Linked DNA regions of Diceros bicornis minor. The protein of the gene in region 1 interacts with the protein of each later gene in a pairwise test. Links are inferred from orthologs where the notes say so. Each region holds a gene or a part of one and is shown in the gene's direction. Other genes may lie near its edges.

The links.
Region 2: the proteins of TCL1A (region 1) and CADPS interact in a two-hybrid assay, tested with the Homo sapiens proteins (3 studies listed by BioGRID and IntAct). The two-hybrid records come from large-scale screens. The link is inferred for Diceros bicornis minor from reciprocal best matches to the Homo sapiens genes TCL1A and CADPS.
Region 3: the proteins of TCL1A (region 1) and LSM3 interact in binary tests that used the Homo sapiens proteins (3 or more experiments, as listed by UniProt). The two-hybrid records come from large-scale screens. The link is inferred for Diceros bicornis minor from reciprocal best matches to the Homo sapiens genes TCL1A and LSM3.
Region 4: the proteins of TCL1A (region 1) and PRTFDC1 interact in binary tests that used the Homo sapiens proteins (3 or more experiments, as listed by UniProt). The two-hybrid records come from large-scale screens. The link is inferred for Diceros bicornis minor from reciprocal best matches to the Homo sapiens genes TCL1A and PRTFDC1.

What each region holds. Positions count from the first base shown.
Region 1 is NC_080763.1:41,264,908-41,272,128, reverse strand, and holds the start of TCL1A (T-cell leukemia/lymphoma protein 1A), read left to right. Parts: upstream 1-4,221; 5' UTR 4,222-4,254; coding exon 4,255-4,374; intron 4,375-7,221. UniProt on the Homo sapiens protein: Enhances the phosphorylation and activation of AKT1, AKT2 and AKT3. Promotes nuclear translocation of AKT1. Enhances cell proliferation, stabilizes mitochondrial membrane potential and promotes cell survival.
Region 2 is NC_080741.1:62,199,075-62,206,182, reverse strand, and holds the start of CADPS (calcium-dependent secretion activator 1), read left to right. Parts: upstream 1-4,092; 5' UTR 4,093-4,601; coding exon 4,602-5,045; intron 5,046-7,108.
Region 3 is NC_080741.1:88,655,371-88,662,950, reverse strand, and holds the start of LSM3 (U6 snRNA-associated Sm-like protein LSm3), read left to right. Parts: upstream 1-4,576; 5' UTR 4,577-4,639; coding exon 4,640-4,660; intron 4,661-7,110; coding exon 7,111-7,221; intron 7,222-7,580. Other genes in the region: XPC (DNA repair protein complementing XP-C cells), read right to left, coding at 4,258-4,360. UniProt on the Homo sapiens protein: Plays a role in pre-mRNA splicing as component of the U4/U6-U5 tri-snRNP complex that is involved in spliceosome assembly, and as component of the precatalytic spliceosome (spliceosome B complex).
Region 4 is NC_080775.1:24,169,892-24,177,107, reverse strand, and holds the start of PRTFDC1 (phosphoribosyltransferase domain-containing protein 1), read left to right. Parts: upstream 1-4,212; 5' UTR 4,213-4,248; coding exon 4,249-4,296; intron 4,297-7,216. UniProt on the Homo sapiens protein: Has low, barely detectable phosphoribosyltransferase activity (in vitro). Binds GMP, IMP and alpha-D-5-phosphoribosyl 1-pyrophosphate (PRPP). Is not expected to contribute to purine metabolism or GMP salvage.

The sequences.
Region 1 (7,221 bases):
CAGTCCCCGAGTTTTACTTAGAATATTCTTGTCCCAAATTCTCCATTCATCTAGAGATGAAATTTCCTCCTTTACGGGCAAAGTCTATCTCTTTTACTCTGAGCTCACTTGATCATCAGCCTTAATTATGTAAAATATGGCCCAGACCTAGGAATAATTAAAAAAACCACTCTAGGCAACTAGCACGGATGCCTTAACATCCACATTGCAGAGTTTCTGTGTTTTACACATTGGCGAGATCTCAGAACCTTACAATCCTAATATCTTGGTGTTATGGTTCCCTGCACACAAAAGATTGGAAGCAGCAAATTAAAAGTAGAACATAGAGAAAAAAGTAAAGTACAGGCTTGGGGTGAGGTTTATAGTGAGAATTGGTGGTAGAAAGAATAGCTTTAACATTTTCACGGTTATTTGGTTTTATAAATCTTGTTCACACTTCAAACCCACTAACTCAAATCTTAAAGAAGTGGTTCTCAAGGTTCGCTACACATTAAATCACCTGAGGACCCCCTTAAAAAAAAATGTAATGCTTAAGCCTCAGTCTCAGAGATTCTGGTCTAATTGGTCTGGGGTGGGGTCCAGGCACAGGTATTTTATAAAAGCTTCCTAGGTGATTCTAATTAGCAGCCAGGGTTGTGAGCCACTAGCTTAGTGGTTCAGGGCCATTCATTGTAGGGCCCAGAGGCCTGGATGCCTACGTAGCCCTGTATAGGCTCTTTACAGTGTGCTACAATCAAGGTTAGGATGACATTGGTACCAGGAGTTTCTTTTAAGAGGAGAATGCTTTATATATTAGAAATGATTTTGACAGAAAATAAAATAGCCTAGAGCGAAATGATACAGAAACGAATGTCCAACTCTTGTGTCATAGTTAGAGAAATCTAAAGGGAGCTGGTGGAATAAGGCAGACACCCACCATCTCTCTCCTGATCCTCCCCCTGTAGACCAATGGGATCTTGTTACAATGCAGATTCTGACTCTGTAGGTCTGGGGAGGGCTCGAGACTTTGCAGTTTTCATGAGCTCCAGATGATGCTCCAGGGACCATACCTAGGGCAGCAAGGCTGTAGTTCACACTGATGGCCATGACTCACCCTCGAGCCCCTTCTTTGGAACCCAAACAAGAAGGATGGCTTCCTCACTCTCGAAGAATGAATTCCATTGGGGTCCTTAATATCCAGAATCACTCTGCTCAAAACCATAGGCTTTCCTGAACTAATGTCATGAGTGTATCCATCTCTTCTCTTAATCGTTCCCTCCTCCCACTAGGCAACTTTATCAGGGGATCAGGGACTGTTGAGTTAGAAATGGGCTTAGAGACCATAGAGCTCGGCCCATTCATTACAAAAGCTTGGCAACGAGGCTGAGATGGCAAAGGGTGGCATATTTCACAGGTGAGAGTGGCAAAGTCAAAACTGGATCCAACTCAGGAGAAGAAAGCATCAGTTAAGGATTCTAGTAAAAAAATCAGTCAAAAATAATTGCTTTGTATTACTTTCTACATGCAACATCCGCTTGATTATCTCCATGGAGCTTGCAGACTAACAAAGAGTCAGAAAGGAATATACGACTCTAAAGCTAGGCTGACTGCCCTCAGAGCCCTAAGATGGGGCAGATAGCATGCTGGAGAGGCTCCCCTGCCTCTGAGACCACACAGCAGCTATTGTTTCCCCTCTCATGGAATTTCCATAAAGAAGGCTCAAGGCCTCCACAGAAGCTGCCCAATGAATTCCTCAGTCATCCTTATTTCACTTTTCATTTTTTGGAACTCCTTCTCAAATGATTTTCCAAATCCTACAAAGAATGACATATACTCTTGCTCAATATTAAGAAACCCTCATGTGAAAATGAAGAAATATAACATTCTTTCAAAGTAGGGGGGATCATCTTCCCAGGACATTCAGAAGGGAATCCAGCCAAATGGGTCTGATTCTTGCTCCATTATTTGTTTCTTTGTGCTGCTTAGAAAAGCAAAACAAGCGCTAATGAAATGGACAGGCCCAGTGGCATTCTGGATCCTGGAGCCATCTATGTGGCTGGGTCAGTTGGCCACACTGGCTCCTGGGTGCCCCCTTCCCTTGCCACAAAAGGCCATCCCAGAGGCACTGTTTAAGCTGGACTTGTTAATCATTTCTGACCTCAAAGCTCAGGACTCGGCTGAGACGTCTCCAACAGAGCATATTACCACAGTATCTTGCTCCCATTGGCTGTCTGGGTCTGGAATTAAGACCCATCCACAGGGAAATCACCCTGAAAGCCACAAGTCTGAATATCAAATACAAACACCACTAGGGGCTGCACTGGCAAAGAGGTTTGCTGGGCTCCTGTCTCCTCCCTCCACTCCCAACCTTACTTGGCTTTTGTCTTCTATTTTGTGTTCCTGGTAAATCCAATTATATGTCTATTACTGTAGGCCACCTCCGCACCTTGTTGGGAATTAGGCTGTCTGGATAGGCAGAGTAGCAGATACATTCCTTTGCTATCAGGGGATCAGGTGTTAGGCTCATTGTCACTTTCCTGACGTTTGAAAAGATCAATTATTTTCTTAGTGCCTAGTCAGAGAGATGGGGAAGAGCTGGAAGGCTAGGCAGCAGCAGCGGTGATGTTTGAGCAATGATGCTGAAGCTCGTTTACAAGTTTCTCATTGTACTTTATTTTCTTAATTGCCTTAATGCGCGTGTGTTACTCCAAAATGAAGTGAAATTGTTTTCCTTATTTGCTGTAATTTACAGAGAGGTTTGATCATGTAACCCAGGGACTTCAAATCCATTGATCTTGGGGTAGAGGGAGGGGTTTCTTTTTAAGTATTCCTTTTGAACCATGTTTTCACTAATGAATTCAAAGCCTATAAAGGGAAAAACCCATGTTTCTTCACCACCAAGTTTCACAATAGCTATTAGATGACCACAGCATCATCAAAGCCGTGGAAAATACATGTCTTGGGTGTGGGAGGGGGCGGGGGCTTCAAGAGTTGCACTTTGCCAAGGAAATTGATTCTGACACCCAAATCCACAGGCTGAAGGTGATGCTGTGAACCTGGCAAACACCAGGCCTGGTTCAGGTTTGCATGGATTTCTTCTGATCCCACAAGGTGTGGCGGGGGGCCCTGGCTCTGCGTCGTCTGGCGTCAGCTGTGAGTTCCAAGCAGAGGCTCGGAGTGCCGGTCTGGGGTGTGGCTTGACCAGCTGACTCGGACAGTGGGTCTGGGCGTCAAGGGGAGAGAAGGACGCTGGTGCCTCAGACAGAAGAAAGGACCAAGATACAGAACAGGGTACCTCCCCAGCAGTGGGGAATGGGAGGGGCGTGGAGGTGAGGCTGGCTGGCTGGGGTCCTTAAGGAAGTCCAGGGTCTGTTGGGCTGTGCCTGCGCTCCTAGACGCTGCCACGGTCCCAGGACATAAGTCTGGCCAGTGCTCAGGGCCAGCTCTGGACACTGCCCGGTCGCCCCACGTGCCACGCGCCCGCCCATCCTGCCTCGCGCCCAGCCCACGCGCCCCGCCCCACTACCTCGCGCCCCGCCCCACTACCCCGCGCCCCGCCCCACTACCCCGCGCCCCGCCCCACGTGCCCCGCGCCCCGCCCCACTACCCCGCGCCCCGCCCCACTACCTCGCGCCCCGCCCCACTACCCCCACGCCCCGCCCCACGTGCCCCGCGCCCCGCCCCACGTGCGCCGCGCCCCGCCCCACGTGCGCCGCGCCCCGCCCCACGTGCCCCGCGCCCCGCCCCACTACCCCGCGCCCCGCCCCACTACCTCGCGCCCCGCCCCACTACCCCCACGCCCCGCCCCACGTGCCCCGCGCCCCGCCCCACTACCCCACGCCCCGCCCCACGTGCCCCGCGCCCCGCCCCACGTGCGCCGCGCCTCGCCCCACGTGCCCCGCGCCCCGCCCCACTACCTCGCGCCTCGCCCCACTACCCCGCGCCCCGCCCCACGTGCCCCGCGCCCCGCCCCACGTGCGCCGCGCCTCGCCCCATGTGCCCCGCGCCCCGCCCCACTACCTCGCGCCTCGCCCCACTACCCCACGCCCCGCCCCACTACCCCGCGCCCCGCCCCACGTGCGCCGCGCCCCGCCCCATTACCTCACGCCTGGCCCTTTCGCACGTCCCACCTCGCGCCCCGCCCGCCTCCCCGCCCCACCGATTGGGGGCGCCCGCACGCGATCCCGCTATAAAGTGTCCAGGCCTTGCGTCCCACACACCAGCGAGAGGCCTGGAGAGGCTGCGGGTCTTGCGGCCTGGACCGCCCGAGGCGCCATGGGCGAGCTCCCGTTCTTCAGGGCGCACACTGCCTTTCACCCGGACCGCTTGTGGATCTGGGAAAGGGCCGTGTATGTGGACGAGAACCAGCGCACTTGGCTGCCCATAACCATCGAGGTATGGCCGCTTCGGGGCCAGGCCGGGCGGGGCAGCATGGGCGTCACCATCCCTGGCCCGGCCTGGGGAGCCAGAGACGTCCCAGGCCGCGCGAGGCCCTCCAGGAGCCCCTCAGAGGCGGCAGGGTGAGGGCGGTGGCGGGAAGGCTCAGAAGGCCTGATCCGCCCAGGGCGGCCAGGGGGCTCACAGATGAAACCACTTTGAGGTGGGCTGTGAAGGATGAGTAGGAGTTCTCCAGTTCGCTGGGAAGGAGGGTGGGGAAAAACACAAAGGCATGTTGGCCAAAGGATGGGGACCCATTGCCTCTGGAGTGTGTGAACATGATCTTGAGTAAAATAGGACTTGTCTGGGTTTGAGGGTCCTAAGCCATAAAATGGGAATAACATCTCTCTAAAGATTCATACACGTGGCTGATTATCAGAATCTCCTTAGGTAAGCCTCAGAAATCTGTGTTGTAAAAGGACCCTCAGACAGATTATGATCACCAATTTTGGGGACCACTGCCCTAGAGTTTGGGTTATTTCATATCTCCTCTATGCTTTGGAAAAAACAAACTTCACAAACAATACAGTAGGATAAAAGCCAGCATTGAATAAATGTTGACTTTGTCTTATGTGTGATGCCTTAAGATGGAGCTTTAGTTAACTTTTTTAAAGAAATATAACTCTCTTACAAGTACTTTCCACCAGAGCATAGATTTCCTCCAAGAAACTTAGGTGAAAAATGTTGAAACTCTTTCCATATATAAATGGAAGAAAGCATAAAAGCAAAATTTAAATACATAATATTAGAACATTTATGTGATATATTAGCAAACAGCAAAAAGTTATTGAGTAGTGCCTGTGTCCCCATTTTACAGATGAGGAAACTTGAGGCATAAAAATGTAATATTGTCCAAAGTAGAACTGCTAGTAGGTAATGGGCTTGGGGTTCCAGGTTCTTAACCACCATCTAAATTTGCATCTTTATTGAAATTCAAATTTTTTATGTATACATATATATACTTTTAAAAATCAAGTTAAATATTTGCTTTTTTTAAGTCAAGTATTTGAAGAAAATTTAAGTGACTATCTTTTTTTAATCTCTGGTTGAGGGGTATCTTCTTCAACATGACACTGAAACCACAGAGTTTTTCACATAATCATTATAAATTCTGCACAAAACATAACCCATTAGCAAACCCATTTGCCTCCTGTAACTGCAAAGACTAGTATTCTTAATATGTAAAGATTTACTTAGCCAGCCCTCGTGGTCTAGTGGCTAAAATTTGTAGTTCTCACCACCTCTGCTGGGGTTCGTTTCCCGGTCAGGGAACCACACTATCCATCTGTCAGTTGTCATACTGCGGTGGCTGTGTGTTGGTGTGATGCTGGAAGCTGTGCCACTGGGATTTCAAATACCAGCAGGGTCCGCCATGGTGGACAGGTTTCAGTGGAGTTTCCAGACTAGACAGACGAGGAAGAAGGACCTGGCCACCCACTTCTGAAAAATTGGCCATGAAAACCGTGTGAATAGCAGTGGAGCATTGTCTGATACAGCACCGGAAGGTGAGAGGATGGTGCAAAAAGACTGGGCAGGGTTCCGCTCTGCTATACAGAGGGTGGCTAGGAGTCGGAATTGACTCGAGGGCACTAACAACAACAAAGATTTACTTAAATCAATAAGAAAAAGATGAATAAGCAAACTAAAAATGGTTAAAGGATATAGAAGACTCTAACAGAGCAAGAATGGTGACTTCCACACTTATACTTTGCAGGATGATCAGAATTATTTTATAATAGTGAGTTCTAATTTATTTCATAGAAAATTTGAAATAACTATTTCCACTTTGGAAAAATAGTCATTGAACAAACAGGAATGCCTAGTTTATATGCCAAGCACGATTCTAGGCTGTGGGGGTTTGCAGTGACTGTGATAAAACCCCTCTACTTGTCAAGCTGACATTCGAGGCCAGTGGTTAGTTGTGTAGGAGAAGGAAAGTGGGATGAGAGGTGATCACGAGTGGTGTGGGGGCTTCAGGCAGGACCCCTGGGAGCTTAATTCGCATTTGCCTGTCATATTTTGCCCATGATTTTATTTGAAACCTTTCTGAACCTCTATTTTAGGCATGCCTCTCATTTATATCTTAGAGTTGGATTTTGCTGAAATTTGTCTTTCTAGACATACGGTTGAGCAGAGACCTGCCTAAAAGAAGGATGTGAGCCCTGTGTAGATCTAGGGGAGAATGTTCCAGGCAGAGGACACAGGTGCCAGAGCTTACTGGGAGTGTGGCACGTCCCAGAAATAGCGAGGGGGCCTGTGTGGCTGCACCGGGGTTGGGGGTGAAGGACAGGATGACAGGAGATGAAGGAGGCAGGGGCCCGGCTACGTGGGCCTGTGGGCTGTGGTAAAGATTCCAGTTCATTCTGCCTGCGATGGGAAGGCGTCGGACGGTGTCGAGCGGGGCAGTGACGTGATTTTTGGATGCACACCCTAGCTGCTGTGCAGAGACTTGATTGTGGGGCCCAAGACGAAGAAGGCAGCAAGTTAGGAAGTTATGGCGATAGTCCAGGCGAGAGATGATAGCAGAGGGGCAGTGGTGGAGATGGCGAAGAGTGGTCTCACCTGATTCTGGGGTCCGGGATATCTTGGGATATATGACAAAATAAAGAAAAATCAGAGAAAATCCATCAGCTGAAATAGCTAAGGAAACCGCATGGGTGAGGAAGCTCAGGGCCCCATGGCGTATCCTAGCAACTAGAAGTTTGTCAGGGAGAAGTGAGCCTTTGGTGGCCCTGTCTGGGTATCTGGACATGTGTGAGTGCTGGTCGTCCTGGCCCAGCCAGCGTCTCTGAGAAGAGCGTGCAT
Region 2 (7,108 bases), on another chromosome or scaffold:
AATTAACAAGGTGGTTTTCCAAGACGAGTTCCTGCAAGTAGTATTATTTATCATTGCAAAACATGTTTTGTTGCCTGGACTGAAAGAAGATGTTTTTGTGTGGTTTGATTCTATTATTTTCAGTCTTATGATTATCCTTTAATTCCATCCTAACTCACTCCATTTTACTTTAGCAAGAATTATCATATGATAAAGAGTAATGATGAAGGGTAGATTTCTCAAGTAAAATAAACCATAAGTCCCATAAAATACTATTTAAAATAAGACAGGGATCAATTAAATAAATAAGCAAATATTCTATTATTCAAGGATCTATTTCTGGATTATTTGATCTTTTTAATGTTGTTTCTCTGTCCAATTATTTGTATCCAATTTCTGGTCATTTCATTTATTACAAGTCCTTCTTCCACCAGTTGAAAAAATGTTTAAAACTAAAATCTATTGAAAAACACCTTTTTTTTTTTTTTTTGTGAGGAGATCAGCCCTGAGCTAACATCCGCCAATCCTCCTCTTTTTTTGCTGAGGAAGACGGCCCTGGGCCAACATCCGCGCCCATCCTCCTCCACTTCATATGGGACGCCGCCACAGCATGGCTTACCAAGCAGTGCGTCGGGTGCGCGCCCGGGATCCGGGCCAGCGAACCCCGGGCCACCGCAGCGGAGCACGCGCACCTAACCGCTTGCGCCACCGGGCCGGCCCCTATTGAAAAACACTTTTAATACAACATTTAATTTAATTTTATTGTCATTCCAAGGGAAGTGAGTGCTACTATCGCTCATTTTACAGATGAGGAAACTGAGTTTGAGTCATTAAATAATTTTCTCAGAATAACTCTGCTATTAGGTGCCAGAGATAGAACTTCTTGGGTTGAGAGTCCAAGCACTTAAATTGACATAGGCATACCATAAGGTTCAAATTTTTCCTTTTTGGTGCCTGTGAGCTATTCTTAAAATTAAAAAAATGTTGATTGGATGAGATGATTACATTTAGATACTATGAAATTTATTGTGAGATAAAAAAATTACTTAGTCAAACTATCTTCTAGTAACAAACACACAAAAACATTAAAATGGGCATTAAACTCAGTTTTATTTGATTGAAACATGTTATATGAGTGACATAAACAGCGATTGTTTTTCATCAAAGTGTCTATCAATTGCCAACACGTCAGATATTCCCTCCTACTTGTGGCCTTTTACACAATGACAGCAAATGCTTTGGAGGAGAACGGAGATAATCTAAGCCTAGACTAGAAAACCCTGGTTTAGCATCTCAGTCATTTCCATTTCCCCTAGACTTTGCTTTTAGTGGGTGGGATTTAAAAATTCAATGTTAAAACTTCTACTCACGATATAGTCTCCAGATGGCTGACTAAAATTTATTCCATCACCTTGGGGTTATTCAAGTTTCCTACAAAGCAGAACTGGAGGTGGGGGCAAACAAGCAAGTACCTAAAATAGCTTGTTTGAGGATATAAATACTTACGTGTATCAGAACCTATGGTAGAATTGTACTCTTTAAAATAGGAATATGGATGTTAACAAAAGATAAACACATGTTAAGAGCCTGTGGATGTGTTCTGGGGTTATTTTCTTCCTTGTTCATCAAAATTTGCATCTAGGAAAGCCATAACTCCTGGTTAAGATGCCTAAGGAGTTCTGGTTGACATTTCTTATTTTCACCAGTAGCAAAGACTTATAATATCTCCAAGGATACTGGATTGACTTTTAGCTAAGGTAAAAGATGTCTTTGAGAGGATGTACATTTTAAAAGACAGAAATGCACACCATTTGAAAAAAATTATAAGTATTTCTAGGAAAATCTGCTTAAGTCTCTTTGATTGAACACTCATGGGCGGAATGAGAAGAGTGTAGGTTTACCTGAGCAATGTTATATTTAATACCCATCATAGGTTTATATGATTAACCAAAGGCAGATACTGATTTTATGTTTTAATGAGTATAACTGGGGAAAAAAACGCCACATAACTACAAAGGAATTTGTAAAAATACAAAACTAAACAAATCTTTATTATAGCGATTGAGAAATTCCAAATGGTTCTGAAGACAGAATTCACGGTCACTCTTCTACCAATGCCTAATGTGATAATACTTAAATGCCTAACCTTGCTTAGAGAAGAAATATTTAATTAGTAAATGGCCTTTATCTGGCCTTGAAGAGCACCTCCTCTGCAAACCACATGCTCCCTAGCTAATAATTCATTTCTTTGTGTCCTAAACATGATCTCCCCATTTGGCCAAATGGATTATTATTTCAGCTCTTTTTTTCCTCCTCGATTCACCCTTACCTATCCACACACCATCTCCACAACACTTATACCTTACTTGGTCCCTTGTCTTATCACTGTGGCTTTGCAAATCACTTTATCACTTACAATATCTTCCCTTTTCATCATCCATTCATATGATTCCTTCCTTTAAAATTTAACTCTCTTTGAGAAATATATGATTCTCTTCCATTCCCAACTGCTTCATTCAAGCCAGCTTTTAGGGGTTTACTAACTTGGATTTGTTGGTATGTTGCCTTGAAATAAGTGCTGTCAACCTTTTTCACGTGTATCTGTTGTATCTCCCAAAGGAGATTAGAGTCTTTAAGAGAATGTCTTCCAAAAATTCCATCCACCACAAGCACCTAGAACTTCATGTTCATTCCACTCACTCCACAAAAAGGTGCTGAAGGGCTGTTGATTAATTGACTGACTGGCCTACTGTATTTTCTGTTCCAGGGAAACGAGTACAACATAATTTGAACATCTTTTACTCCTTTAGAAGAATTAAAAAGTGAAGATTGCTAAATTGTAACAATTTTCACATTGCTGGATTATTTAAATTGATACAGAATGCATGATGGCCACAGAAGTTATGTCCTTCAGGTGAGTATGGTGGTGAAGTCAAATATAAGCCATACATATATTACTTAATTTAAGAAATCAAATAGGATTTTTGGAGTTAATGTGAAGTGAGATGTTGTTTTAAGTTCATTTTTAGCTCTCAAACAGATTAGCTAGAAAGCTTCACTTGAATACCAAAGCCTACAGTAAAACTCATGGTAAATTTGAAAATACCTAAAGACAGACGTGATGTAAACTTTAAATTCATGCTACACTTTTACAATAAATCCTACGAGTATCTATGGATAACTAGAGCATTAGAAAATAAATATAGGAGATAGGGTGGCGGGGAGGTGGAGAGAGGTCTCTAGATAGCCTAAGATCCAAGGGTGGCGGGGGTCGGTTTGTTTTCAATCCATCTGCGGGTCGCTGATTAGATTCAGCACGCTGGCCAGCTCCCCGGTCCGCCGGGTTTATTGGCCTAAGTGAAAAAAGCAGGGGAAAGGAAGGCACCATCTGCTGCTTTGAATTAATAGATAACCGAGGAGCAGAGATGAAGACAGTGCAACAGAGTCAACGCATTAGATGGTGATGCCGCTGAGTTCTTGGGGTGTCTTTGTCTGATCTGGAGGTCCCCCCTCCTCCACCCAGATCTCCCAGCGAGCCAGAATGGAGGAAGGGCTGAGCAATGAGAAACCCTTCTATTTCTCTGGTAGGCTTACCTCAGCAGAAAGTATTCCCAGTTCTTGGAATTGAAGAATGTTCATAATAGCTTTTGCGGAGGAGACAAGGGCGAGGGTTCTACTCAAATAGTTGAGCTGCATGGTCGATACATCAATCCGCTCAAAATTTGATTCACTTTTATTTTAATGAGAGTGGACGTATGTAAAGTAAATTGCTGGAATCAGAGTTTACACAGGTGGGATAAACACTCTGCCCAGCCCCACTGCCCCCACGCCCCAGGTGTGAAGAAACCTGGGGACAGGAGATACACTCTTGCTTTCCCGTACGGGATCTCGCCGACTTCCTCTTAGTGAGACCTCTAGATTTAGCGTCTCCAGACAGACAGTCCACTCTACGCTGACAAAAAGTCATCACTGGTTTGTCTATTTCTTCCTCCCCCAAGAACTTTTTGTCTGCGGGAGGAGGAGAGAGGTCCAGGCAGTGAGACCTGGGGATCAAGGAGGAAATTATCCACAAAAGGGAGGGGCTGATGGGGGTGGGAAGGCGTTCGGGTCAGTACCGAAGCTCTGAGACTTTGCGGAGGCTCCGCGCTCTCCCCCCTCCAGCCCTCTGCAGCCACCCTTTACGCCGCGGACACGGGAGAGTTAAGCCAATAAACACGTAAGCGCCGCTCCCTCCCCAATCGGCAAGATGCCTCTTCGGCTCTTGGCTGCATCGACAGCTTGCAACACTCGGCATCTTTTCTGGAGGCGCCTTCTTCAGCGGCTGCAGATGGCATCCGGCTGCGGGCTTGGGGCTCGCAACTGATTCTCCCCCTTGCCCACCTCGGGTCCACGGACACACCTCTCCCTGTCCCTCCTCCCCTCGCTCCTGGGTCTGAGCCCAGCTCCAGATCGCCAGGCGGAAGAAGCAGTCGCGGCGGCCGAGACTGAGCAGCAGCGCGCTCGCTCCCCGAATTCGGGAGAAGAGCCCATCCGGGAGAGCCGACTCCCAGCTGCCTCCGGCGCCCCCCACCTTTTGCACCCCAAGCCGGGGGCTCCAAGGACCCCCTTCCCCAAACGCCACCATGCTGGACCCTTCGTCCAGCGAAGAGGAATCGGATGAGATCGTGGAGGAGGAGAGTGGCAAGGAGGTGCTTGGCTCGGCCGCGTCCGGCGCGCGCCTGTCTCCCAGCCGCACCAGCGAAGGCTCGGGCGGCGGCGCCGGGCTCGGAGGCGGCGGCGGTGCTGGCGCCGGGGCCGGAGTGGGAGCCGGTGGTGGCGGGGCCAGCGGCGCGAGCGGCGGCGGCGGGGCCGGTGGTCTGCAGCCCAGCAGCCGCGCCGGTGGCGGCCGGCCCTCCAGCCCCAGCCCGTCGGTGGTGAGCGAAAAGGAGAAAGAAGAGTTGGAGCGGCTGCAGAAGGAGGAGGAGGAGAGGAAGAAGAGGCTGCAGCTCTATGTGTTCGTGATGCGCTGCATCGCCTACCCCTTCAACGCCAAGCAGCCCACCGACATGGCTCGCCGGCAGCAGAAGGTAGGTGCGCCTGCGAGGCCCAGGGAGCAGCGCCGGGACGCCGCCAGGCGGGCGGGGCGAACAATAGGAGCTGGCGGTGCAGCTGGCGAGGAGGAGGAGGAGACCGCGCCCTGGGGAAGGGGCTACGAGGCCCCCTCTCCGCGGCCAGGCCCGGCCCGGCCCAGCCCAGCCCAGCCCGGAGCGCGCCAGGAGCTACCTGGGACCGGCGAGGGGCCTGGAGCGCAGTGCCGCGTGCTGGAGCCTCCCTTCCCTGGAGCGCCGGGGAGCAAGGCGGGCAAGTCCCGCTTTGTGGCCCAGGAGGCTCAGGGAGTGACTTGCAGCCCACAGCGCCCAGAAAGGCCTTGCTCGTTTCCTGGGCTCCCAGCACTCTCCAGCGGCGGGCGGCTGCGCTCAGCTCCGGGCCCGCCCTCCTGGGCGTGCGCTCGGCGGGCGGGGGCACCCGGCAGGTGGGGGCGCCGATGTGGAGCGAGGAGAGCGCCTCCGAGCTGCGCTCAGGCTAGCCTGAGCAGAGAGCAACCCCAGGGGCAGGCGGAAGGAAGCAAGCCTGGAAGGCGAAGCTTCCAGTCACACTGCGAAGGGCACCCTCCTCCCCTGCCCAGGTCGGCTGATCACCGACTAGGGTTGCCCAGGGGTCCTCGGGCACCGCTTCCCTCTGGCCGGGGTTCCTTCCGATCTCCCTTCCCTTTCCTCACTGACCCCAGAGCAGGGGCACGCCCTCTGGTCCTGCCGGGGTCAGCCCCTCTACCTTCCTCCCTTTGACTCTCTTCTCTTCCCAAGGTGACTTCGCCGCCACCTTCTGGCTCTCCGAGGCCCTCCAAGCCCCGCCGCTGCAGGCTTGATAAAGTGCAGCTGCAAAAAGCCTCACAATTATAAACATCAAAAGCTTTTTGTGTCTGAGGCTGGGGCAAGGCTGAGGCGGCTCCGGGCTGCCTTTGATATGAAAAAAAAGCATCTATTTCTATCAGCTGTTCTCTAGCCAGAGAAAGGAGGGGGCGGTTACTAAAAGATGAGAGGCAGTGGTGGGGGTCCAGAAGAGAAGGGGTCAGGTACCCGTTGGAGTGAGTGAGTTAAGAAAGTCAGCCTTCTATTTTGTCTCTTTTAAATGAATCTGCAGCTCTTGGGCTCTCAGAAAAGCCAGTGAAGCCCCCAGAGGGGAGTGCGAGAAGCCAGCTCTAACCCCATCGAGGTGGGGTTTCTTAAAAGTGAATTTCTCCGTTGCTGTCATTTAAGACTGAATTATATGTTGCTGTAGTCGGGTGTTAGGTTTTCCTATATTTATCCACCCTTATCTTGAGTTAGCACAGATTTCTCTGTTTGTTTTGCTAATATGTGTACACACACCACCCAGCACTGGTGGTTTATTTCAGCTATCACAAGCCTGCCTATCAGTTTTATTAAAAATAAAACTCATTTCCTGGTTGAGAAGTAGCAGGTGGGCTACATACTCCACTCTCCACCTGGGTCAGTGGCCCCTTGCCTTTTCAACCTGTATATTGGACTACACAGAGCAAAAGCATCCTCAGAGCAGTAAGTTTTTTGGATACTCCTTTAAGGTTGGGTGTTGCGTCCACAGAATCTGATATTTCCAATTTCAGCTTGGAATTATGATAATTGTGTCTTTATGGCAGGGGAAATTCCATCTCCAAAATCTATCCTATTAACAGCACCAACCCAAGATGTCCTATTCCTTTGGCAATGAAAACTGTTGTGACTTAAAGAGAAAATAAAAAACAAACTTCCCTTTATCAGTCGAAGGCTCTAGAGCTGTGTCATTTAAGTGGATGCTTAAATCCAGCACTAGAATGGGTAAAGAAGTCTATTCTCGCAGAGACACCCTTCTTCTAAACAGAACCTTCAGCCACCAGGAAAGATCATTGCTAGGCTAAGTTTCTCTGATCCGATTGTATGTTTTACCTGAATCCATTGAAAGCTGTGGTTTTTGAGGAGTAAATGAGTTCTGTTTTTACACATGACCTTAACATCAGAGAGACTCCAGGACAGATTAATAACACTAGCATTTGGTCAAACTATTTTTAGTTATTGCTGCAAACTAGTGCTAAATA
Region 3 (7,580 bases), on another chromosome or scaffold:
GGAAAGAGACTCTCCCTTTAATCTAAATAAAATCATCCTTTACTTTTTTTATTTTTTTAATTTTTTGTGAAGAAGATCAGCCCTGAGCTAACATCTGCCAATCCTCCTCTTTTTTCTGAGGAAGATTGGCCCTGAGCTAACACCTATGCACATCTTCCTCCACTTTATATGGGACACCGCCACAGCATGGCCTGACAAACGGTGTGTCGTGCATGCCTGGGATCCGAACCTGCGAACCCCGGGCCCCCGAAGCAGAGCATCCACACTTAACCGCTATGTCACCAGGCCGGCCCCATAAATCATACTTTAATTTAAATAAATTTCACATTATGGGCATTGTGTTAATGTAGATAAAATCACTGATGCTTTCTAAAAGAAAGAATTTATGCATTCCTATGTCTTAGCCATTTTAACACAGACACAAAAAATAAGGAGAAATTTTGAAAAACAAAATATTTCAAAATTACTTATTTAGAATCTGGGGAACAGATTTCTTATTCCAAGACCGGAAGCTGCTTAAAGGTTTGACTAGACGGTTTGAGTAGTGTGCCCTTAAAATCAGGATTTCTGGATCTTACAATGGTCTTTACTCTCTATTAATAAGCAAAGATGCTAATACTTCATTTTTACTAATCTAAAAACCCAAGTGGGAGGATACTTCACAGACACTGTTTCTTCCTCACCAAACTGATCTGATTGGTTATAAGGCACAGCTGTATATTTCTGTGCTTTGAAGAGAGAGGTAGAGGAGTTAAAGGGGGGGGAATTGGAAACAAAAAACTGTGAATCAAAAAAAATCATTCATATTCATAATATCCAAAAGTTTAAAAACTAATGTGAATAACCAATCATGAGATAATCATTAATTATGGTACAGTCACACGATGAAATATAATTCAGTCATCTTTTAGACAAAGAAAAATGATATATGATAAAATATTAGGCAGGCAAAGTTATTTTTACAGGGAGTTTCTACTGCATAAAAAAACACAGACTAGAAGGAAATATACCATTGTTTAGTGGTGGTTATTTCTGGATGGTAGAAATATGGATGACTTTGTTTTTTCCTTTATCCTTTGCTGTGTTTTTTTGGTCCTAGAGAATCCAGAGGCTATTTTCCAGGACTCAAAGGTCTGGAGTTATCTCATCTGTCTAACCAGCCTCCCTGAGCTCAACATGGTTATTTCAGCAGGACAGGAATTACCACTGTGGCTGGCTTGGTCATCAATTGAGATTTAATAAGAATACCTGCTTAAACCTTCCAGTGGCATCTCACAGCACTTAGAATAAGATACATACTCCTTAGCTTGTTCTCCAAGCTAAGGGCCCCAACAACCTCTCTCACCTCAATTCCTACCACTCGCCCCCTCACTCACTGTGTCCAGCCAAATGGCGAAGCTCACCCCCCCCCCCGAAACTCTTGAAACTTACTGTTCCCTCTGCCTTTTCCCCCACAACTTCCTAAGAATGGCTCCATCGGGGCATTCAGTAATTGGCTCAAAATGTCACCTCCTTGCAGAGGCCTTCCCTGACGACTGATTCTGACTTAGCTGCTTCTTCCCCACCCCCATGCCCATTTTATTACAGCAACTGTTTTATTTTCTTCATAGCTCTTATCACCATGTGAATTTATTTTTTAACGTCTTATTGTCTGCCCTACCTACTCCTCCCCAAAGATTATAAGCATCATGAGAGCAGGGACCTTGCCTGTTCTGTTCACTACCATAACTTCAGTACCTAGAACAGTGCCTGGGAACAGTGGGCGCTCAATAAATATTTGTTGAAGGAATTAATGAATTACATCAATGAAGGCATTAACACAGAGAAGAAATATGAAGAAACTAGAGGTGCCCTAATAGAAACAAGGAAATAATGTGGAAGAAATGTTTTCTTTGTCCCTAACTGCTGAAAGCAGCCACGCATCACCTTCATTTGCATGCCCCGAGGTGCTGCTAGAACTTACACTCAATGATCACCAAATCAGTGTCACCTGCAGCCCAAACCACGCCTGCTCCTCCCCTCAACCACAGCAAAGATTGCAACTCTTCCCGGAAGCTGCCTTGGGAACTTACTGCTAGCTCCGCTGGCTGGCAGTTTCAGTGAAGCTTGGGGGCATCCTTAACTATATTTAGGCTGAATTGTTACGAGCTAACCCGAATGATTATGTAACATGGACCGTGCCAGGAGCCTTATATGCTCTTACTGAAAACTCACAACCACCCTGCAAGATAGTAGTATGTTCACAGACAAGGTTCAGAAAAGCTGTGTTATTTGTCCAAAATAATTTACCTAAGTGCATATAACTACCAAGCATTGGAGCTACACCAAACTGGTGCCCAAGTGAAGTGTTTTAGCTGGGAGGAATGCTTTTAATTTTTGAATTGCCACATATTCAGAACGCATTCCCTCTGACTAGAATACAACCCCCTCTCACGACCATTTGCTGAATATTACCCATCCTAAATCCCAGATCACACATAACTCCTCCAGAGAGCACACCTCAGTCTCTCCAGTCAAACTTGATTATTCCTTCAGAAGCCACAAAGCCTTGCACCTTCTCCAATATCAGACCCTGCGTACTCTGCCTTGGATATTTTTTGTAAATGTCAACACTACTATATTCTAAGCTCCTCCATGAAATCTCTCCCCCATGTCACCTAGCCCATGTACAGCACACAGTAGGTACTCAGAAAATGTTATCTGAATGAGTAAATGAATGAATAAAATGGAACTCATTGTGAGGTAAATCACCTTCTAAGTTTAAAAATTGTTACCATTTGACTATTTCCTAATGGACGACGAACTTATATACAGAATCACAGAACTGTTGAATCTAGTGTCTGAGTCCTTGCTGGTTACCTAACCTTCTACCCAGTTATCTCAGGAAGCCCAGAAATCCTTTCCACAGCATGCACTTTGCAATTATTTAAAATATTTATTGAGCACTTAGTATATGGGGAGAGTGACAAGATAAGATACTGCAAAAAATAAGACATGCTTTCATGAAGCTTAAAGTCTGGTAAGACAGGCAATCAAAAGGAAGCAAATAAATTAAGAAGATCATTACAGACGGTGACAGGGGCGTTGAGGGCCTGTGTGATAGGGAGTATCCCGGGAAGACCACCTTAGAAAGGACGCTCAAGGAGTGTCTGAATTGACACCTAAAGGAATAGAAGAAATCAGGCACAGTAAAGCCATGAAGAACATTCTAAGCAGAAGGAACATCAAAGGCAAAGGCTTGAGGTGAGAAATAACATGGCATGTTTGAGGAACAGAAAGGAGGCCACCAATGAGAGTATCTGGCAAAGAAGAGTGGTAGGAGACAACAGGAGCCGTAGCAGCAGCCATATCATGTAGGGTCTTGTAATCCATGGTGAGGAATTTGGATTTCACACCAAGAGCAACGGGAAGCCACAAAGGGTTTGAAGTAGGAGCATGGCATGATCTGATTTTTTTTTTTTAAAGATGGTTTGGGCTGCTGAGTGGAGAACTACTGCAGAGGAATGAAAAGAAGTAGGGAGACCAGTAAAGAGGTGACCGCAGTCCTTCAACTGAGAAGTGACAGTAGCTTGGACAAAGGCTGTGGCCACGGAAATAAAGAGAAGTGGAGAGAGTGGAGATCTAGTTCAGAGGTTTGACTGACAGGACTCGCTGACTGACAGGATGTGTGCGTGTAAGGAAAACCAGGGGTCTGCTTTTACAAGCAGGTGAAGGCATCATTTACTGAGATGGGAAAAGGCGGGGAAGGAACAGGCTTACAGGGGAAAAAATCAAGAGTTTTGCTTTGCCCATGACAAATATAAGACGTCTATTGGATATCCACGTGGAGGAGTCAGTCAGGTTGGATCCGAATCTGGAACTCTGGGGTGAGACTTAGCTGAAGATATTCTGGGAGTCAGCACACTACTGCACTCTACGTCCTGGTCCATCCGTCTTCTGGGGACACAAAATAACTGCACTGCCTTTCCCCTGTTCAGCCCTCGGCATCCGCCAGGAGGCCGGACTTTGTCCTGTGGGCAACAGGGAGCAGGAAAGAGGCTACGCAGGGCAGCTCCCATGGGGTCGGGCTCCAGGGGAGCCGCTGAGGGCGCATCACTCCTCGTGGGGAGGACCTGGGCGGCGCCTGCCTCCCTTGGCCCCGGTAACGCGGTCTCCTCGGCCCCCCACCTCCAGGAGCCGGCCTCCCCGCTCCCCGACCCGGGCCTGTCTCCCGCCCTCGGGCATCCCCCTCTAAGCCCGGCTCAGCCTCGCTCTCACCCGCCTCCTTCTCCTCACGCCGGGCCACGCTCTTCCCTTTGGCTTTCTGGCCCCGCAGCCCGCGTCGCCGCGGGCCCCCGCCAGCTGCGCGCTTTCGAGCCATGCTGCCCGGGCAACACTAGCTGCTCGCGTGACGCACCACCCCGCGGGAAGCTGCCCCTGGCTGCGCCAGGCGTAGCCACGCCCCTTCCTCACAGGGCAAGCCTCCGCCCCCAGAGGAAGCTCCGCCCCAGCCCCAAAAGACCAAGGCGAACAGCGGGAAGCAAGGAGGTGCAAAACAGATTTCTTTGCACTTCCGGTGCATTGCGTCCTCGCGTTTCCGGAGACAGGAGGGAGCTCGCGTGCTCTCGCGAGAGGCAAGGAAGGGCGCAGGGTTTGAAACATGGCGGACGACGTGGACCAGGTGAGTGTCTTCTAGGGAGCTCGCTCCGGAGCGGCTTCTCCTCTCCCAGCCCTGGCCCTGCTCGGCTTTGCGTACCACGGTTGCTTTCTCGAAGCTCACGGGAAGGTGGCCGATCGTGCCGCCTCTTTCCAGGTCACCATGGCCTTAATCGGCCCGTTGCTAACCGCGCCCCCTGCGACTTTTGCTTCAAGCCCTGAGATCTTTTCTAGTTCGAAGCCCGCCTGAAAACTAGTTATTCCTCCCGTTCGTCGCTCCCTTTGTCTTCATTCTGACCTTTATCTGTAGAATGGGAATAATTACTCCTGCTTGCCTCGCGGAGCTGTCGGGATTCTGATACAAAGCGTGATAGTAAGGAGTTATCGTTATCGAGCGCAACCGTTATTACTCATTCAGCAAATACGTAGTGAACATCAGCGTTTGCTTAGACACCGTTCTAAGCCCCAAGGACGCCGGCATTGACATGCGTGACCCTTGTCCCCACTTGGGCTTATATTCTGGGGGAGGATAGATGAAAGGTAAACATAAATATATGCGTTATGTAGGCACTGTGATGTGGTATGGAGGACACAAACAAGGAACTGGTGTAGAGAGTAACTGATGGTCCCACAGGCTTTCTCACCTGCTCTTCCTTCTTCCCAAAATGCTCTTCCTCAGGTGTCTTTGTGGATCAGGCCACAGCTTCTTCAGCTTTCTAGTGAAACCTCACCTCATTGAAGAGGGCTTCTCTGGCCACCTACATAAAATAGCATTAGGCCCAGTCTGCTTTATTTTTCTTCATAGCGTGTTATCTGTTCATATTAAGTGTATGTGTCTTTGTTTGATGTCTCTCTCCCTCCGCTAAAATGTGAGTTCCTTAAGAGCAAGAATTTTGTTTTATTCACTATTCTGTTCTCAGGTTTTACTTTTTTGTGTGTGTGTGTGAGGAGATTAGCCCTGTGCTGACGTCTGCCAATCCTCCTCTTTTCTTGCTGAGGAAGACTGGCCCTGGGCTAACATCCATACTCATATTCCTCCGCTTTGTATGGGACGCCGCCGCAGCATGGCCTGACAAGCAGTGCATCAGTGCGCGCCCGGGATCCGAACCGGCGAACCCCGGGCCGCTGCAGCAGAGCGCGTGCACTTAACCGCTTGCACCACTTGGCAGGCCCCTGTTCTCAGGTTTTAGAACAGTGCTGGAAACATTCGAATACTTATTGAGTGAATGAATTGAATGATTAGGGAGGCCTCTTTGAAAAGGCAGTATTTAAAGCTACAGGATGAAAAGTGTGGACCGTGGGCATCCCAGACTGAGGCTAAAGGAGCCGTAGGGCTCTGTCATGAGTATATTCTTACAATATTATAATTGTCTATTTATTTGCCTCTCCCCACTAAAATGAGCAGGGACTGACTGCTGTGTCATTGTAATCCAGTAGTTGGTTAGCTGCCCATTAACAAACGCCTGTTGAACTGGGGTGGGGCCCAATTGAGGTCAGGATTGCTTTTTTTCTCATCTAACCTTTTAAGGCTGTAGAGCCTGCAGTGTTGGGTCACTTTCCTCCCCTGGCCTCATGTACTCCCTGAAGAAGCTCAGTAATCTCGTCAACTCTCCTGGCTTCTCCCTTCTGTATGGATGACCCCAAGTCATCCTAGCCCTGATCTTTCTGAGACCTGTTTCCAACAGTTCTTTAATAGTAATAACCTGAACCATTTATAAGTACTTTCTGTTTGCCAGGTACTGTTTTAAATACGTTAATTAAATACATTAGCTCATTTATTCCTCACAAGAATCATGAAAGGAAAATTATGGCTTCTTCATTTTGCACACAAGGAACCTGAGAATTAGAGGTGGCATGATTTTTTATCTCAATTCATATAAGTGTCAGAGTCAGTAGTTGAGCTCACACTGCCTGACTCCAAAGCTAGTACTTTCAACCAGTATTCTCTACTTCCTGCTAAATATATGCATCTTACCAGCCACTCAGCACCCTAGACTCAACCTGCCCTGTACTGACCTCGTGGTCTCCCTCAAACCTTCCTCACTGCTTGGCGTTCTGACTAGTGTGTGGTAGTCATTAAGTGAATGTTTTTCAAATTACTAAATGATATTTGAGACAGGGCTAAAGTCCCTGAGAGTGACTCACTATACCCTGAAATTGGGTCAGGCAGTTTGGATTTTGAGGGAACAAAGTACAGCCGTGATAACTTTGCTGTGTAACTCCTTCCTGTGGATGTATGTTTTGGCTCTCGTTTATATAACACTTACTATGTGCCAGGCTTTGTTCTAAGGCTTCATATATGTCATTTAAGGCTCACAACAGCAGTGTTAGGTAGGCATTATTGTCATCCACAGTTTACAGATAAGAGACTGAGGCATAGAGAGGTTAAGTAACTTGCCCACAGTCACAGCATAGCAATGATTCAAACACTACGCTCTTTCTAGTACTGTATCATAAGCCTGTTTCTTTTATCAGCAACAAACTACCAACACCGTAGAAGAGCCCCTGGATCTCATCAGGCTCAGCCTGGATGAGCGAATTTATGTGAAAATGAGAAATGACAGAGAGCTTCGAGGCAGATTACATGTAAGTAAATTTATTAAATTACGTGGTGGTAGATTACATGTAAGTAAATTTATTAAATTACCTGGAAATCAGATTATTTCCTCTTCATCCCTCCCTACCCTCACCCGCTTGAAATGTAAAAACTGTCCACTGTGGAAGAGTATTTAGTGTGTAGATGAGATGGAGGTAGAAAGTCACCCATATTTCTACAAGCCAAATACAGCTATAATTTATTCATATTTTTAACGTGTTTTCTCTTAACAGAAATGTTTATTAAAGAACATATTCATTTCTTTCATTTTTTCACTTCTGTTTATTTTTAAATAACATTTGTTTGTCCTCCATTCTTATTTAAATGTTTTTTAAATTACTGACATATA
Region 4 (7,216 bases), on another chromosome or scaffold:
ACTGGATCAGCTCCTGGGATGTTGCCAGCGGGCGCTGTACATCAACTCTGATCAGAGGAGAATCCACGTACAGCTAAGAGAACAAACAGCTCAGTTCCCATTCCAGTTGCTCCTTAGTGTTCCCACTACACAAGCCAAAGATTTTGTCGACTAAGGAGGTCTCCTTTTTTTTCTTGAAGTGGACAACTTTCCATCAGAAACTCAGCACTGGCTGAGGCACCAATTAATTTTGCATAATCTGCCACGGCACCATTAGATGCTAATCCGTTCATTCACAACCATAAGGCATTGTGTTAGGGTCATGTACATGACTTGTGCCTCCAGCCCTATGGATTTATTTAGTGCTTAGCCCCTCATTCCTGCAGCTGTGTCCTTTCAATGACTGCTTTATGGTGGCCAAGAGAGCTGAGGTTGGCTGCCAGGACTCTGAGATCTGGAGGAACACTTGCACACATTATTCTTCTACTCTGAAGCAATCTAATTCCTGTTCCGGTCAGATGGGGAGATAGCGGGAGGATATCTCTGAAGCAGCCCAGCACTCACTGTCGATATTACTCATGCCTCCTCAAAAGAGCAGGCTAAAATTTACCTGCAGTGTATTCTTCGGTGGAAGGTTAATTACCAATGAAAGTGTAATAATACAAAACATAATTCTGAATGTAGCTCCTGCCTGTATTTGTAAAAACTACTATGGAGCCATTATTTCCTTTACTCTAAGACTACACATTGGATCCAGTCTGCTTCAAACAAGGGGCCAGGAAAGAGGGCTTACTATGCTAATTGAATACTAATGAGGCTTTTGCTTAAGTCATTTTGTGTTACAATTATTTGCAACTATATTTCTTCTGTATTTATGTAGAGGGAAAAAATATATCTCAAAGGTAGCAAGATTCTTACTTAGCCTGAATATTTGGAAGAAAGTGTCTTGCCACTTTTTCTTTTGTACTTGTAACATTTGCAGAGGATTTTGTTCAGCACTGAGGAAAAGCAAAATGTCACCATCATTATTGCTGGCCCTCGTCCATAGTGGATTTCATCCAGATTCTAACCAGTGACTCTGTGACTAACAATCTGAGTCACTAAGTTTCATATGTTTATGTATTTCAACACAATTCCCAGGCTGAGAGTTTTTTATTTATTTTCATGTTTCAGGACTCATAAAAAATTAAATGCCCTTTTGTATTTCGAATCTAGTGTCACTGAGTGACTGGCTCTGAGCAACTCAGTGCATAGATTGAATTGCTCCTTCAATAATCGATTACTATTGGCAAAAGTTAAAGAAATACCAATCTGTCAAAAGATTAGTATATACTTTCAGGACAAAAGTCTTTAGCTAGGTGGAGAACTCAGGTAAATATAAATATTTGTGTTTTCACCAGTGTAGTAAAACAAGATAATTTCAGAATTTAAAATGCAGGGAAACTACAACTAAAAGAGAATAAAGAGAATGACAGAAAAATACAAGTATGTTTACTAGTTATTAACTTTGTAAAGATGTACAGCTTTATTCTTACAGCTCTTCCAAGGAATATCAGAAAATGGACAGTCTGAGCTAAAATATCCCTTTTTATGGAAAATTCCATTATTTTAATAATTTTCTCATTTTACTGTATCCATTCCCATACCAGCCCCAACTAGTCCCTAGGTTATAACTGTCCTTGATTGGTCACCCTACACTCATATTAAAAAGGCAATTACCCTGTCATTTTCACATCAAATGACTTTATGAACTTCTAGTCATACATTTTCACAGCTTCTCAGATTAATAACACCTTACAGTTTTATAGTATTTTTCACAGGATTCTCTTGCATGTTATCTCATGTTAATATCATCATATGTGGTAGAGTGGAAATGTACTGCCCCCATTTACAGATGAAAAAATTGAGACACATTACATTGATGTAATCGGCTTACCCTCATTGGCTAAGGTCAAATGGATTGTCACTAGAAAAACTGGAATCCTTGTCCAAAGCTATTCCACTAGACATGTAACAGAAATTTGAGATTTAAAAAGAATTTTGCCTCTAAATCCTCATAATGCAAGATTAAGAATAAAGCCCGGACAGATGAGTTGTTATTCTTGGATACCCGTCCTTGCAAATACGATTTGTGATATCAAGTATTATATTGTATTACATTAACGCTGTCCAAAGAATCCAAGTGAAATCAAATCATACAAAGTCTTATCAAAAAGATAAAAAAATAAAATAAATCCTATTTTCATCATTCTGTGGTCTTCATAGGATGTCCTATATAGGTCTAGATAGGATGTTCTTGGATGTGCATTCACAAGATTCCTGTTGTCATTCAAGCAAGTTTCATTTTTTTCATCGTGAACCTATTGGGCTTTACATTTCCTTTCTAAGGAAAGATTTATCAACCGTTTATTTCCCTTACATCTCTCAAAATGCCTGGGCTAACCCACAGTTGTTGCTTTTTAACTTCTGTATAGCGGCTACACCTGTAACTTATTTTGATGTCCCTTGCCCCTAATCTGGCCCCTGCACCCACACCGAGCCTCTTACGGGTGAGTCTGACTTGGCTGCAGTAAGACGGTCCAGTGGGATACCTTACAGTATGGCTCCTGAACCGCCCGCATCACCCTCATCTGAGTGTCTCGGCAGTGCCGATTGCCGAGTCCCATCACACAGCTTCTCCACCGTAACCTGCCAGATACAGGGGTCGGCTGGGGTCGGGGGGGCGGTGGCGGGCTCCTCAAGAGAGTCTTGTGAACCCTAAAGTTTGCTCATCACCACAATGATAGCACTTTTCAGTTCCTGGAAGTTTCAGTGACATTGGTTGTGAAGATGCTTCCTAGGGCTTGGTCTCTGACAATGAAAACAGAAGACCGTCCTTCCTCTTTGGAAAAGAGGTGAGAGGCAGACTATAAAAATGGCCCCAAACAAGGACCTCCGACAGATACGGAGAGAAAACGTTCACCTGTGCGCCAGGAAACACTGTCACCCCGTCTACGGGAGCCAGTCTCAGCCATCCACGGAGCTGTCTTCCTTCCTCGGCGCTGGCTTCTCGGAGAGACCGACAACAAACGGTGCTGAGCAAGGCCACGTCTGAAATGACTAATATTTTTCCAACCTAGAACGACATTGACTGATAACTACTTTCCCCTCAAACCAGGCAAAATCAGCATTCCTCTCCCTGCCGTGTGCCAGAACTCCAAGACGAACAAAATAGTCTTCTGGAGAGGCCTGAGTCAGAGAATGTGTTCAGCTCGAGGCTTCAAACCCCTAGGGAGGCTGCAAAGAATGCGGCGAGATCGCAGACACCAGGGGAGTGAATACATATAAAGGGAAAGCAGGGCCCTTGACGGACGGACAAAGAACCAGTGAGAGAAGCCTTGGATTAGAGGTGAATTAACAAAAGATTCACAAAAGAAGGCTTTCTAATCTGAGAGCACTTGCCTTAAACTGCAACCTGACACAATTAAAATCTGACCATATGTTCTTACAAAAGTGGTAAAGTAGATAATTTGTAAAAATCACCCCCCCACACTCCCACCCCCACCCGCCTCCCCCGGCCAGAATGCGGTTAAGGAAAGGCCCTATTTCAAAGGCCAGATCCTATCACCGCGGGCACGGTCCAAGGTAAAAGCAATCGCATGTTCTTTGAAACTCCTAGCTGGCGGTTCAAGGATTTTAAAAAACACATCCGGGATGGTTTCGTCCACAGCCGTACTTTCTATATCGCAGGCTCGTTCACGGATTTACTTGGGATAAAAAGTGCATAAAAATTAGCAGGAAGGATTCAAGACATTGTTAGCCTGAAAGCTGGGACGACAGCCGTAGGGAGGCAGGGGACGGGGGCACACTTTCTCCTCCCGGAAAGATCGAGCGGCGGGCAGCCTGCTGCTCCCGGGTCCCCGCGGGGCGCGGCGCAGGCGGCGGGGCTCCCGGGCTCGCAGACGGGCACGCGGCGGGCGGCGGCCGCGAGGGACGCGCCCCGGGCCCGCGCTCAGGTGGAGCGGGCGCCGCTCCGCAGCTGCTCCCCGCGCCCCGCCCGCGCCCCGCCCGCGCCCCGCGCCCCCGCGTCCCCGCCCCGCGCCCCGAGCACCGGCCGGGGGAGGGGGCGCCGCGGCCCAGGCGCTGGAGCCGCGCCAGGCACCGGGTCCGCGCCGCTTCCTAACCGCCGGCCGGCCCGGGGCGGGGCGGCCCCAGCCCCAGCCCCAGCCCCAGCCCTCTCCCAGGTCCGTCCCGCGCCCTTCTGTCCTTCCCGCTTTCGCTGGGAGAAACATGGCCGGGAGCAGCGAGGAGGCGCCAGACTCCGGGCGAGGCGTGGTGGTAAATGCAAACTCTGGATTTCGGGCCTGAGCCGTGCGCTCCCCGCTCTCCCCTCCCCTCCCTTCTTGGCACCCTCCTAGATTAAATGCCTGAAATGCATTCGGGTGACAGAGCGGGCCGCTGCTCTGTCTTCCCTCCCAGCGAGCATCGCTTCCGTCCTCCCCTCCCCGCTCCGCCCTCCCTGCGTCCAGTCTGACCCAACGCTTAACATCCCTTCACCCGGTTTCCCAGTGTCCCCCTTCCGCATCCCCCGCGCCCGGGTATCCGCTACTCCAGCCTTAGGCCAGTGTGGTGCCGGGTCCCCACTCCTGCTAGCCACCAGGAGTCACCTCTGGGAGCGGGGAGGGTCTGGGAAGACCCCCGCGTGCTACTCTTGTGGGCCTCTTTCCTTCTGTGCTTCCTCCCGACTCCTCCAGCGCGGGCTTCGAGTTTTGTTTTCCAGAAGGATACTGAGGATACTCGAGGGCAGCTAGGAAATAAAGTAGCTCAAGTGGATAGAGTTTGAGCTTTGAAACCTGTGCTAGGACCTCGTCTTTGGGGCCTTTGCTAGTGCCTCTGAGCTCAGTTTCCTCTTCTGCAAAAAGGCGACGCAGCACGCTGGGCCTGTTGAGCGAATTGCAGAGGATGTGTATAAAATATCTAGTAGTGTATGCAGATGGGAGGATGTGGGATGATGGGTTCCCAGATCAGAGCCGCTTTATCCCTGCGAATCCCTTGAGGAGCCAACCAGAGGGTACCCATCTCTCAGTGTTCTGGAATCAAATCTAGTCTTGACCTGTGGCCGCCAGCTTCCACTCCTGGCTCCCTTCAAGAATGGTTTCTATAGAAGGTGGTGGTTATTGCAGTGTCAGGTTTAGTGGAAACTAGTGGTGAGAGTGGTGGGTGGGGTCAACTTGCCACCCTGAGATTCTTTGTTCAGACAGCCTGTAATTCACAGATGATCTGTCTGTGATTATGAATGAACTGCAGGAGTAAGGGAGTTGGGAAGGAAACACCTCACACTCAAACAGAACTGTTCAGATTTAAATGTGTTGCTCAGTCCTTAATTTCACAGCAGGACCTTTCCCTCTTAAAGCATAAGGAGTTCGTTTAGTTATTCATTCCACACACAATGATTGTCCTGCTGGGTTCCAGGCGGTGTTCTAGGCCCTGGGACACAGCAGGGAACAAGACACAGCCCTGTCTTCGTGGAGCTTACATTCTAGAGAAGGAACGTAGGCAAGCAGTGTCACAGCAAATAAACAAAGAAGATAATTTCAGATAGTGATATGTGCAAAGAAAAGAGGGTCATGAGATAGTGATTGGAGGAGGGCTGAGGAGCACTGCTTTTGCTCAAATGGTCAGGATGGCCTCTTTGTAGTGATGCTGGAGCCACAATCTGAAGGATAAGCAGGAGGTAGCCATGGGACGACTCGGAAGAAGAGAACTGCGAGACAGCGCATGCAGAGTGCAAAGAAATCATTATATCCTGAGAAGCGATCATTACATGCAATTTGTGCTTTGAAAAAAATCACTCCAGTTGCCAAGGAAAGGATGGTCAGGGTGGGGTGAGTGGGAGGAAGATGAAAGTGTAAAAAGGGAAATAAGTTCAATTCTGGACAAATTGAGCCTGTAGGGCCTGTAGGGCCTTGAGGTCGGGATGCACCGTAGGCAATTTGAAATTCATATTTGGAATTCGGGGGAGTGATTGGATAGATCTGGAAATCATCAGCAAATAGAAAACTATCTGATGCTTGGGAGTGGATAGGGATGCCCAGTGAAAATGGAAAAAAATTTAAAACTACTGCTAAGGGTTAGAAACCTGGAAAGCCTCAAATGTGAGAGGCAAAGTGTCCGGGAGAAGCCTGATAGAGAAACCAAGAATGAGTCACAAAGTAGGAGAGAGCAGGCAGAGGGGTAGGCACGTAGGGAGCAGAGCTTTGTGGAGAGGGGTGAGGGGGCTAAGAGGTCATCAAGAGTGTCGGATGCTGCAGAGAGGGCAAGTAGGATAAAGATGGAAAAGAAGCCATTGTATTCAACAATTACAAAGCCATTAGTAGGAGAATCTTTTAAACAACCATCTCATCAGTAGAATGGTTGAAATATAGTACTACTACTTAATAATAGATACTCTTAAAAAAGAATGAGGTAAATCTATATGACTAATAAGGTAGATAGATTCTTAGTCTAAAGAGCAAATGATGGAACAGTGTAAATAGCCCAATCTAATGGTGTCACAAGAAGCCCTCTTGAAAGAAAGGTAATTTTGTGAAAGATGGAGGGACGTAGTGAGAGGGCCGCCAAGGTTGGAAATAATCAATGTAAAATGGAGATAGTCACTGCATTTATGTTATTTTCTCCAGTAGAACTTGGGATAATTAGATTAACCTCAAGTTGGATATAGGCAGGGGGGGCAAATTCAGAGTGAATTCAAGGTGCTGGTGGAAGCCCCTGGCATCTACGGTAGAGAGGAAAAGGAAAGCTCTAGAGAATATGTATACTGGGAAAATAGAGAGCCCTCAAGGATGGGTTGCAAAAAATCTAAGGGAAATTTTAGTACCGATAAAAAAGGGGGCAGGTTATAATAGTGAGCATTTATTGAGTACTTACTATGTGGTTTTCCTGTATTATTCCGTTAATCCTCACAAGTCTTTGAGGTAGGTATATTATATTCCTGTTTTACAGAGCAAGAAGCTGAGGCCCTGAGAGATTAGGTAAATCACGAAGCTCACATAACTGGCAAATGGCAGAAGCAGGATTTGAAGCCAGCTTTTAATCACTGTGCTACGTAGGAAGCTGTGATTGCAGGGAAGGATTTCAGAGGTGGGGCCGCTCTGCAGGATTGGATGTGGCTAATACAGAATAAAGACGAAGTGGTTTGGGTTAAGGCAGGTGAAGGAGCTACAGGATAGAGTAACAGGATCATCAAGGTAGGTATTGG